Macaca fascicularis: one gene and its partner. The protein of the gene in region 1 purifies or fractionates together with the protein of each later gene. This does not show direct contact. Links are inferred from orthologs where the notes say so. Each region holds a gene or a part of one and is shown in the gene's direction. Other genes may lie near its edges.

What was found. Proteins that work in one complex are often made in the same cells at the same time.
Region 2: the proteins of AURKA (region 1) and WDR62 purify together in Homo sapiens (affinity purification with mass spectrometry; 3 studies listed by BioGRID and IntAct, counting the BioPlex papers as one, with this or other methods). This does not show direct contact. The link is inferred for Macaca fascicularis from reciprocal best matches to the Homo sapiens genes AURKA and WDR62.

What each region holds. Positions count from the first base shown.
Region 1 is NC_088384.1:112,407,012-112,412,782, reverse strand, and holds part of AURKA (aurora kinase A), read left to right. Parts: intron 1-3,877; coding exon 3,878-4,026; intron 4,027-5,771. UniProt on the Homo sapiens protein: Mitotic serine/threonine kinase that contributes to the regulation of cell cycle progression.
Region 2 is NC_088393.1:43,339,768-43,345,608, forward strand, and holds part of WDR62 (WD repeat-containing protein 62), read left to right. Parts: intron 1-2,680; coding exon 2,681-2,899; intron 2,900-4,033; coding exon 4,034-4,161; intron 4,162-4,499; coding exon 4,500-4,603; exon of another isoform or gene 4,604-4,825; intron 4,826-4,949; coding exon 4,950-5,060; intron 5,061-5,299; coding exon 5,300-5,437; exon of another isoform or gene 5,438-5,534; intron 5,535-5,841. UniProt on the Homo sapiens protein: Required for cerebral cortical development. Plays a role in neuronal proliferation and migration.

The sequences.
Region 1 (5,771 bases):
TATATTTTGGATGCAGGTCGTCTGTCATACATGTTTTGCAAGTATTTTCTCCCAATGCATGCCTTGTATTTTCCTTCTCTTATCTGTGTCTTTCACAAAGCTGTTTTTATTTGACTTTTTTGAGAAAGGGTCTTACTGTGTCACCCAGGCTGGGGTGCAGTGGTGCAATCTCTCTCACTGCAGCCTCTACCTTTTGAGCTCAAGTGATCCTCCCTAGTAGTTGAGACTACATGTGGGTGCCACCACGCTGAGCTAATTTTTGTATTTTTTGTATAGACATAGTCTCACCATCTTGCCCAGGTTGTTGGGTTTTTTTTTTTTTTTTTTTTGAGACAGTCTTTCTCTGTCACCCAGACTGGAGGGCGGTGGCGTGATCTTGATTCTTAGCTCACTGCAGCCTCTACCTCCTAGGTTCAAGCAGTTCTGCCTCAGCCTCCCAAGTAGCTGGGATTACAGGCGTGCGCCACCACGCCCAGCTAATTTTTGTGTTTTTAGTAGAGACGGGGTTTCACCGTGTTGGCCAGTTTAGTCTCGAACTCCTGACCTCAGGTGATTTGCCCACCTCAGCCTCCCAGAGTGCTGGGATTGCAGGCGTGAGCCACTGTACCCGGCCTCCCAGGCTGTATTTTTAATAAAAGTCCAAATGTGTCAGTTTTTTCTTTCATGATTGTGCTTTTTGTGCCTCTCCTTTTTTAAGTGATTAAAATTACTTGTTTTAAGAAGTTGAGTCTTAATTTGGGCCGTTTCTTATTGGATTGACAGCTTGATAAAGCATGTTGGATGGTGGTTACTTTGATTTTTTTTCCGTTTCTTGGTGGAGATCTCTGGGTAGCGTGGACATTAGTTTTCTTTGTTTTTGGCATTGATGTACATGGCATTTAAAATCAAGTAATTTTACTTTCAGTATCTGATGAAATCACACTACTATGGACATATGGCCCTTTGGTCTTGTCTCTGCAACAATGACATGCTGTTTTACACTTAAAGACTTAATCTTAAATGTTTGTGCTTCTCCTAAGTAGAAACAGATCTCTAATTTACTTTTTAAATATTAGCTAAACAAATCAACTTCTTATTTAATTGGCAATTAATATTTCTTTATGAGTTCAGCTTTTGGGCCAGCTTTCTCTTACAGCTCAATAAGGAAATCTGTGCTCATTCATGGTAGTGACTGCCTCAGGTGATCACATTTTACCCTTGGGTTTTTTCCTTGTCATCTTGCTTACGGTGGGTTGGAGTTTGTTGTTTTGGGTCAGTTAATCTTTTTCTTCAGTTTCTGATATTGATATCCTACTTTAAAAGATTCACCTTATCTCAACAGTATAAAATTACACATGATACTACTTCTCTGTTTTCTCTCCTCACACCCAAGGCTTCAATCTAGATGGAGTTTTGGTGTGAGCAGATAGCTATTTGAAAGAAAATGAAAGATTATTTCTGTCTAGATTCCTTTGCAGTTAGAATGAATACGCATGTACCTGTTTTCCTTTTCAGATGAATTCAAATAAAACTAATTGTAGTGACACGTCAGTGACCTATCCATACCTGCAGTCTAACAACATGTGAGGTGTGGAGGGAGTAGCAGTGCCAGAGAGCCATGGCGAAACTAATAGCTTCTTGTCTGGAAATGACTGGAGGAGTGAAGTCCATTGCCTCTTGAACTTTAATGTGTGCAATTAAAGCATCAGCAACTCAAAGTCGGTGTAGTCAGAAGAGCAGCTTTCTTGTATTTGACTTCAGTTTATCGTGGTCTGAATTTTGATCTCTGGCTTTGGACTGAAAGAATGAAAAGTGTTTTTTCTGCCAGTGACACTTGGTGTTTACTTATCTGTTTAGTAAACCTTTTTGATGTAAAATAATGTTCAATCCTGTCTAGCAATTGCTTTAGAAAGGAAACTCAAACTTTAGGCAGAGCTAAATATATTTTTTCAATATTCAAACAGTTACCTGTATGATAAAATAAATTCTGGGCCAGGCATGGTAGCTCACACTGGTAATCTCAGCACTTGGAGAGGCCAAGATGGGAGGATTACCTGAAGTCAGGAATTAGCGACCAGCCTGGGCAACATGGGGAGACTCTGTCTCTACAAAAAAAAAAAAAAAAAAAAAAGAAAGAAACATTAAAAATTAGCTGGGCATGGTGGCACACACCTGTAGTCCCAACTACTCGGTAGGAGGATTGCTTAAGCCCAGGAGTTCAAGGCTGCAGTGAGGTCTGATCATGCCGTAGCAATCCAGGGTGGGTGACAGAGTGAGACCCTGTCTCTTAAAAATAAATAAGTAAATAACATACATACATACATACATACTAGATTTGTTGGCTAAATCTTAGAGATAGGGACTGGAAAACTTTTCTTTTTTCTTGCTTTTTTTTTGAGATGGAATTTCATTCTTGTTGCCCAGGCTGGAGTGCAATGACGTGATCTCGGCTCACTGCAACCTCTACCTCCCGGGTTCAACCAATTCTCCTGCCTCAGCCTCCTGAGTAGCTGGGATTATAGGCATGCACCACCACGCTCGGCTAATTTTTGTATTTTTGGTAGAGAAAGGGTTTCACCATGTTGGTCAGGCTGGTCTCGAACTCCTGACTTCAGGTGATCCCCCTGCCTTGGCTTCCCAGAGTGCTGGGATTACAGGTGCCCAGCCAGGCAAACTTTTCTTACAAGATAGTAACTTGGCAGGGTGCGGTGGCTCATGTCTGTAATCCTAGCACTTTGTGAGGCTGAGATGGGAGGATCACTTGAGGTCAGGAGTTTGAGACTAGCCTGGTCAACATAGCGAGACCCCCATCTCTATTAAAAAAAAAAAAGATAGTAACTTAAGGAAATAAAATTAACAAAAGGACTGATTTCTTATGTACTTCTATGCTGACTTAGTGTAACCCAAAATTTAACATGCTATTTAATATGTCAGTGCAACTGCTTTTTAGTTTCTGTTTATTGTTCAGGATAATTTCTTTCTCCTGATATTCTTGAAGTAAATTTTTAGCTTTAAACAAATTATTCTGTCACAGAATGATCTTGGTTTTAAAAAAAGGAATTGACTATACTTGAAAAGTTAATTTTATTTTTCTAAAAAAGAAAAAGGCAGTATTTACACACCTGAATCCTTAATTTGTACCAGGTCTTCGGCACTGCCTTACTTCCTTGCCGCAGGGCCGTTTGTTGCCGTATGGGGGTGTAACTGTTAGGCTGGTGCAGAAGTAACTGTGTTTTGCATTGAAATGGCACCAACCTAAGAGCTAGCTCTAACTAGCTGAATGTCTTTTCCGTCTTTCAACATCACACCAACTGTATTAGCAAAGCGATAACTAAACATTGGGTAATTTCACTTCATGCTAACCACTATAAATTGGTTCAGTTGATTCTGTGTGTGTGTGTGTGTGTGTGTGTGTGTGTGTGTTTGTGTGTGTGTAGACTCATGTATAATTTCTACGATGCTTGCTTCAAAACCTGCAATATGTGTTTTTTGTTTTGTCTTTTCCTTTTTGAGACAGGGTCTCACTCTGTCACCCAGGCTGAAGTGTGATCATGGCTTACTGCAGCTTTGACCTCCTGGGCTCAAGCGATCCTCCCGCCTCAGCTTCCCAAGTAGCTGGGACTACAGGCATACACCATCATGCTTGGCTAATTTTTAAATTTTTTTTGCAGAGATGGAGTCTTGCTATGTTTCCCAGGCTGGCTTTGAATTCCTGGGCTTGAGTGATCCTCCCACCTCAGTCCCCCAAAGTGCTGGGATTACAGGTGGGAGCCACTGTGTCTGGCCAAAACCTGCAAACCATGTTAAATCTATGTTGTGTTCCTTTCAGAAGAGATGTCTAATATTAACTTGTGTTATACAAAATCTAAAACACAGGCTTTCAATATTTTTTTAACAGTATATAACAGAATTGGCAAATGCCTTGTCTTACTGTCATTCGAAGAGAGTTATTCATAGAGACATTAAGCCAGAGAACTTACTTCTTGGATCAGCTGGAGAGCTTAAAATTGCAGATTTTGGGTGGTCAGTACATGCTCCATCTTCCAGGTATGTAACTTTAGAGGTGGAAGTTGTTTGGTTTACCAGAGCCCTGGGAGCTAATCATGAGCCAAATATAAAATATTTTAGTGTAGATTTTGTGCTATAAGAGGGGTATGTAGCTAACCCAGAAGTACCTTGGAGTAATTTAGGCTTAATAATAAACTAGGGTTTGCAAGAAAATTTTATTCTGTGGTGATTTGGGGCTATTAACAGTGTTCTAGGCCTAGGGTTAAAGATGCTTAATGTCCTTAGAGGCTAATGAGGGGATGAATGAGTCAACAGATAGGACAAGTATATGACAGAGGTGAAGTGCCCATGTGTTGAGGGGGAGGAACTCTTCACCTCTGCTGCTTCCTGGATGAGGAGATGGGGAGATGTTCCAGAGGACAGCACCGACAAAGGTCTAGCACTCAGACTGCAGGTCATATCAGGGAACTTGAAACACCAAATTAGTTTGGTGGAGCTTTGAGGGCAGTGGTGAGAGATTCTCTTTGGTCTGCCTCTGTCAATAGTAGGGATAGTCCTTCCTTGTCCCCTCTCACAGCTGAAGCAGAGATGTCAATCTCAAAACAATTCAAATCTTAAAGAGCTTTCCACATGAACTACAGTATCTTTACTGTTTTAAATTTGAGTTTAAATAAGCTTTGAAACTTCACGTGAAGTGGGGCATTTTAAAGCATACATCTACCGATCAAGGTTTGTCAACTTTGGAGGACTCAAATTATAGCCAGATGACTTAAAAATCAAGCTAGTTAAAAAAAAAAAAGTATAGCCTAAAACAGATTATATGTGAGGGAGAAATCCTTTGCTTTTGTTACAGAGCACTTCTAACTGTTCCCAGCAATGCATTGAATCTGCTATTGCAGTCTTTTTTTTAAAAAAACTGGTTGTCATTAGTGGGAGCTGTTATCTGCTAAGACAAACCAGAATAAAGAATTATAGGCTTCATGGAATTGCAGAGTTAAACTATTTTAACCGGTTGAATTGTGATAGAAAAGATGGCTTCTTGCTTTTTGAAAAGATTGCTTACATAACCGATAGTCACTTCACTCTGAATCCCAGATGTTAATCATCATCATTTCCTGGTTATTGCCTCAGTTTGAGAACCCGCGATTCAGTCTGTTGGTGGTGATGGAGGGGTTAGATGACCAGAGTGGTAGCTTCTTAATCCTACATCACAATTCAGTAGTGACTGTGTGCTCAGTGGGTGCCAGGCCTGGCTGAACACAGCACCAGGGCTGTGACAGCGTAAGCATCTATGGTGAAGAGCAGCTGGTGACAAAGCAATACGAAACCACACGTACTGTTCTGGCTTGGTGTCTGCTGTCCCCAGCTTTTTTCCAACCTTCATTACAAAAACCTAAACCGATAGAAATGTGGAATTGGTAGTTGATGGCCTACCTGTCTATCCAGTGCCTGCGTTCAGCACTTTTTCCCATTTAGTCAGATCGGCTGCATCTACTTTTTTGGTGAACACTTGAAAATACGTTGCAAACATCATGATGCTTCAACCTGAAGCACTATAATAGCATGCATTTCCTAAATAAGGATATTCTCCTATATACTTAGAACCATGATCACTCCTAAGAAAATTAACAGCATTGTCAGTATCTAATATTTAGTCCATGTTCAAATTTCTCCTATTGTCTATGACATCTTATAGCTGGTTTGTAAAATCAGAACTCAACCAAGGCCCATGCTTTGTATTGGATTGTCTCTGTGGTCTTAAGCCAGACCAGTCTCCCACTTTA
Region 2 (5,841 bases), on another chromosome or scaffold:
TCCCCATTAAATAAGTAAGTGACGTAGTATGTTGGGTGCTGATAAGTGCTATGGAGGGAAAAGAATCAAGAAGGAGGCCGGGCGCGGTGGCTCAAGCCTGTAATCCCAGCACTTTGGGAGGCCGAGACGGGTGGATCACGAGGTCAGGAGATCGAGACCATCCTGGCTAACCTGGTGAAACCCCGTCTCTACTAAAACATACAAAAAACTAGCCAGGCAAGGTGGCGGGCGCCTGTAGTCCCAGCTACTCGGGAGGCTGAGGCAGGAGAATGGCGTAAACCCGGGAGGCAGAGCTTGCAGTGAGCTGAGATCCGGCCACTGCACTCCAGCCTGGGCAACAGAGCCAGACTCCGTCTCAAAAGAAAAAAAAAAAAGAATCAAGAAGGAAAATACGTCAGCCAGGTGCACTGATGCGTCTCTGTGGTCCCAGCTACTCAGGAAACTGAGGTGGGAGGATCATTTGAGCCCAGGAGGTTGAAGCTGTAGGGAACCGAGATGGCACCACTGGACTCCAGCCTAGGCAACAGAGTGAGATCCTGTCTCAAAAAAGAGAATAAGAACAGGGGCCCAGCACGGTGGTTCACACCTGTGATCCCAGCACTTTGGGAGGCCAAGGCAGGTAGATCGCTTGAGCCCAGGAGTTCAAGACCAGACTGAGCAACATAGTGAGACCCCATCTCTACAAAAAATTTAAAAATTAGCCAAGCGTGGTGGTGCATACCTGTAGTCCCGGCTACTCAGGAGGCTGAAGTGGGAAGATTGCTTGGGCCAGGGAAGTCGAGGCTGCAGGGAACTGAGATGGCACCACAGCACTCCAGCCTGGGCAACAGAGCCAAGACCTTGTCTCATAAAAAAAATAAAAATAGAGAAAATAAGGAGTGTTGGGGGGTGGCAGTTTTAAGTAAACAGGAAAGGCCTCATTGGGAAAATGATATTTGATCAGAGTTGAAACAAGTGAGGCAGGGAGATACTGGGACGAATGTTCTAGTCATAACAGCCTATACATGTAAAGGCCACGAAGCCAGGAGCTCAAGACCAGTTTAGGCAACATAATGAGACCCCCATCTCTACAAAAAATTAAAAATAGCCAGGCATGGCTGGGCACGGTGGCTCACACCTGTAATCCTAGCACTTTGGGAGGCTGAGGCGGGCGGATCATGAGGTCAGGAGGTCAAGACTATCCTGGCTAATACGGTGAAACCCTGTCTCTACTAAAAATACAAAAAATTAGCCAGGCATGGCAGTGGGTGCCTGTAGTCCCAGCTACTCGGGAGGCTGAGGCAGGAGAATGGCATGAACCCAGGAGGCGGAGCTTGCAGTGAGCCAAGATCACGCCACTGCACTCCAGCCTGGGCAACAGAGCAAGACTCCGTCTCAAAAAAAAAAAATAGCCAGGCATGGTGGTGCACATCCATAGTCCCAGCTACTCAGGGGCCTGAGGCAGGAGGATTGCTTCAGCCCAGGAGTTGGAGGCTGCAGCGATTGTGCTACTGCACTCCAGCTTGGACAGCAGAGCAAGACCTTGTCTCTTAAAAAAAAAAAAAGAGGCCGGTGCTGTCGCTCATGCCTGTAATCCCGGCACTTTGGGAGGCCGAGGCGGGTGTAATCCGAGGTCAAGAGATTGAGACCATCCTGGCCGACATGGTAAAACCCGGTCTCTACTAAAAATACAAAAATTAGCTGGTCATGGTGGTGCATGCCTGTAGTCCCAACTTCTCAGGAGGCTGAGGCAGGAGAATCACTTGAACCCAGGAGGCGGAGGTTGCAGTGAACCGACGTCGCGCCACTGCACTCCAACCTGGCGACAGAGTGAGACTCTGTATCAAAAAAAAAAAAGAAAAGAAAGAAAAAGAAAAGAGAAAGACAATGTGGATTATAAGAGACAGAGTAAGAGAGGTGAATGAAGGATGATCCCAAGGTTGGGGCCTGAACAACTGGAAAAAACAACTGAAACAGGGGAAGCTTTAGGAGGAGCAGGTTTGTGTGGAGGAAATGAGGAGCTGAGTTGTCAGCATGTTAACTTTGAAATACCTACCAGACATCCATACAGAGATGTAGAGCAATTGCATGTGCAATTCTGAAGTTTCAGAGAAAATTTCATGAATCCCAGCTGGGCATTCCCAGCACTTTGGGAGGCCGAAGCAGGATTGCTTGAGCCCAGGGGTTTGAGACCAGCCTGGGCAACATAGTGAGAGTCCACCTCTACCAAAAACCAACAAAATGGGCTGGGCACAGTGGCTCATGCCTGTAATCCCAGCACTTTGGGCCAAGGAGGGCGGATCACTTAAGGTCAGCAGTTTGAGACCAGCCTGGCCAAAATGGCAAAACCCCATCTCTACTAAAAATAGAAAAATTAGCCAGGCGTGGTGGTGGGCACCTGTAATCCCAGCTGCTCTGGAGGCTGAGACAGGAGAATTGCTTGAAACTGGGAGGCGGAGGTTGCAGTGAGCCAAGGTCACACCACTGCACTCCAGCCTAGGAGACGGAGCAAGACTTCATCTCAAAAACAACAAAAAAAAAAAAAAAAAGAGAAAGGTTCATGCTGGAGATACGTACCTGGAAGTTGTTTCTGAATGGTATTGAAAGCCAGGAGCCCGGATTGGCTGTGTGAAATGTCTGTGGCGCTCCCTGCAGTGAGTGAGCACTCAGCCGGGTGCCTGACTGTCCCATATCCTTCAAGCTAGGGGACGATGATGTGCCAGATGGCTCGGCCTTCCATGCCAAGCGCAGCTACCAGCCCCACGGCCGTTGGGCAGAGCGGGCTGGCCAAGAGCCCCTCAAGACCATCCTGGATGCCCAGGACCTGGATTGCTACTTTACCCCCATGAAGCCCGAGAGTCTGGAGAACTCCATTCTGGATTCACTGGAGCCACAAAGCCTGGCCAGCCTGCTGAGTGAGGTACGCACTTCCACCCCAGCCTGGTCTGTAGCCCTGGCACTGTGACGGCCCCAGGGCCTGGCACCTCAGGCTGACTCCCACTCCATGGGGGCAGGGAGGATTACGTGAGGTGGTGAAGGGTAGGAGGGTGAGCCCCAGGACTGTTGCACAGCAAGACTTCCCAGGGCAGACAGGGAGTCGTTGGAAAGTGAGTCACTTGGGGGTTAAGAGCTTGGATGCTAGAGCAGGCTTGTACCCAAGTGGGGGACATTTGGGTAGATGGAGCCCTGACCCTACCCATTCCTGTTGTGTGACCTTGAGTAAGAGGCTTACCTCTCTGGGCTTCAGTCATCTAAAAAGTAGTCATAATCGGGCCGGGGCAGTGACTAACACCTCTAATCCCAGCATTTGGGGAGGCCAAGGCAGGAGGATTACTTAACGATCACTTGAGTTCAAGGCCAGCCTGGGCAACATAGCAAAATCCCACCTCTACAAAAATATTTTTTAAATTTTTTTGTTTTGTTTTCTTTTCTTTTTTAAAAAAAAACTTTTAAATGGTAATAACAATCTCTTCTGCCCCAGAGGGCTTTTACAGGAATCCATGCTTAAGCATAGGGCCTGGGCTCTTAGAGGTGCCTGTGCAACTTTAGCTCTTACTCTACTATTTTCCAAACAAAATTCCTTTTTATCCTATCCTATAATTTGTCATCTTTATTGGGGTATAATATACATCCAGTAACATGCACAGATTTTAGGTATACAGGTTGATGAACTATCTGTGTAATTCATATGTGTCCACTACCCTGGGTAAAATCTGGAGTGTGTTCTACCTCCTAGAAGGTTTCTGCCCCTCCCAATCAGGTCCCTGCACCAGGATAACCAGTATTCTGACCTCTAACCAAGGACTGGGTTTCCTATTATTGAACTTCATATAAATAGACACGTAGAGGGTTGGACCTCCTATTTTTGGTGCCACACCTCTTCCTCATCTATAAAGGGACTGATAACGCAGGGGCAGCCCAGGACAAGCTGGTTGTGAGCAGAGTGCATGGCACAGGCCCTGGGTCACAGCCTCCAGCAGCCAGCCATGGTTCCTGGCGTAACAGTGGCCCCAGCCATGGCTGCTTCAGAGTGGCTGTGCTGTCTTCCCCATAGTCAGAGAGTCCCCAGGAAGCTGGCCGCGGGCACCCCTCCTTCCTCCCTCAACAGAGGGAATCATCTGAGGCCAGTGAGCTCATCCTCTACTCTCTGGAGGCAGAAGTGACAGTCACAGGGACAGACAGGTGGGTGTCCTTTCTACCAAGGGAGCTTTAGTTGGAGGAAGCCCCAGCTGATAGCTGCACCCTGGAAGAACTGTTCTTTGCCTTCCCAGTGGGCTTGTGGGAGTGGGGACAGTTGTGGCCTGGATGGGGCAGGAGCCCAGCCTTAGTTCCTTGGTTTCAGGTGGGGTACAGGAGGGCCTGACCTGGGGGAAGGAGGGGACATTTGGAGGAGGCGGGGAGGCTGAGGCAGTGCTCCTGCAGGAGCAGCGGGTACGGGTGCCTAGGGGCTCCAGGTGGGGCTGGCTATTGAGTCTCCAGCTGAAGTCCTTGTTCCCTCTCTGCCCCCACTGGCACTGCAGCCAGTATTGTGGGAAGGAGGCGGAGGCCAGGCCTGGAGACCAGCAGGGCGACTCCTACCTCAGGGTGTCCTCCAACAGCCCAAAGGACCAGAGCCCACCTGAGGGTGAGTGCAAGAAAGGCAGGGACCCTGTGACAGTCTGTGCGTTCAGCCAGGCCCCTTTCTGGGCACCGATGGTGACTTTGACCCAGTACTGAAGCTCAGAGTCTGTCGAGGAAGACACATGTGGTCCCTGCTGCTGCCTGAGGATTCTGGGCCCAGCTGCCTACAGTTGAGAGCCCAGCTCTGCCACCTCCTTGATGTGGAACTTCCCTCATTCATAAAATGGTGGGTGGGTGCTTTTATCATCCCTCCTCCAGATGGGGAAACTGAGCCCAGGGAAGCATAGCCCTGGCCCTGGCTCACCTGAATGGTCAGGCTGTGGGCTCCTGACCCCAGCTCTCTCCTTCAGACTCGGGGGAATCAGAGGCCGACTTGGAGTGCAGCTTCGCGGCCGTCCACTCCCCAGCTCCGCCTCCTGATCCCGCCCCTCGGTTTGCCACGTTGCTACCCCATTTTCCAGGTAAGCAGGGGCCAGACACACAGGGGACTCGCTGCTCGGGCCTGGCTTAAGGCCAGTCACAGTGTTTAAGCACAGGCCCTGCACTTGGAGCCCACTGAGCCTGGAAGATGGGGATCCCTGCTTCTCAGCCTGCAGGCAACAGGGCAGGGATGGGTGGGGCCTGCTTTCTCCATTTCAGGTGGCGTCTGCTCTGACTCATGGTGTTGGCTCCTCTTGTCCCTCCCCTCCTTCCCTGTCAGGATGCGCAGGTCCCACAGAAGATGAGCTGTCCCTGCCCGAGGGACCCAGCGTCCCCAGCAGCTCCCTACCCCAGACTCCGGAGCAGGAGAAGTTCCTCCGCCACCACTTCGAGACACTGACTGAGTCCCCCTGCAGAGGTAGGACCCTGCCTCACCCGCACCTGCCAAGGCCATCTGTGCAGCCTGGGCACAGCATTGGTGTCCCTGGAGTCGGCTCCCCAGCAGGGCCGCGAGGGTGAGTGGAGAACACCTGCTCCGTTTTTTTTTTTTTTTGAGACGGAGTCTCACTCTGTTGCCCAGGCTGGAGTGCAGTGGCGCAATGTCAGCTCACTGCAACCTCCAACTCCCCGGTTCAAGCGATTCTCCTGCCTCAGCCTCCTGAGTAGCTGGGATTACTGGCGCACACCACCAAGCCTTGCTGATTTTTTGTATTTTTAGTAGAGACGAGGTTTCACCATGTTGGCCAGACTGGTCTCGAACTCCTGGCCTCAGGTGACCCACCCGCCTTGGCCTCCCAAAGTGCTGGGATTATAGTTGTGAGC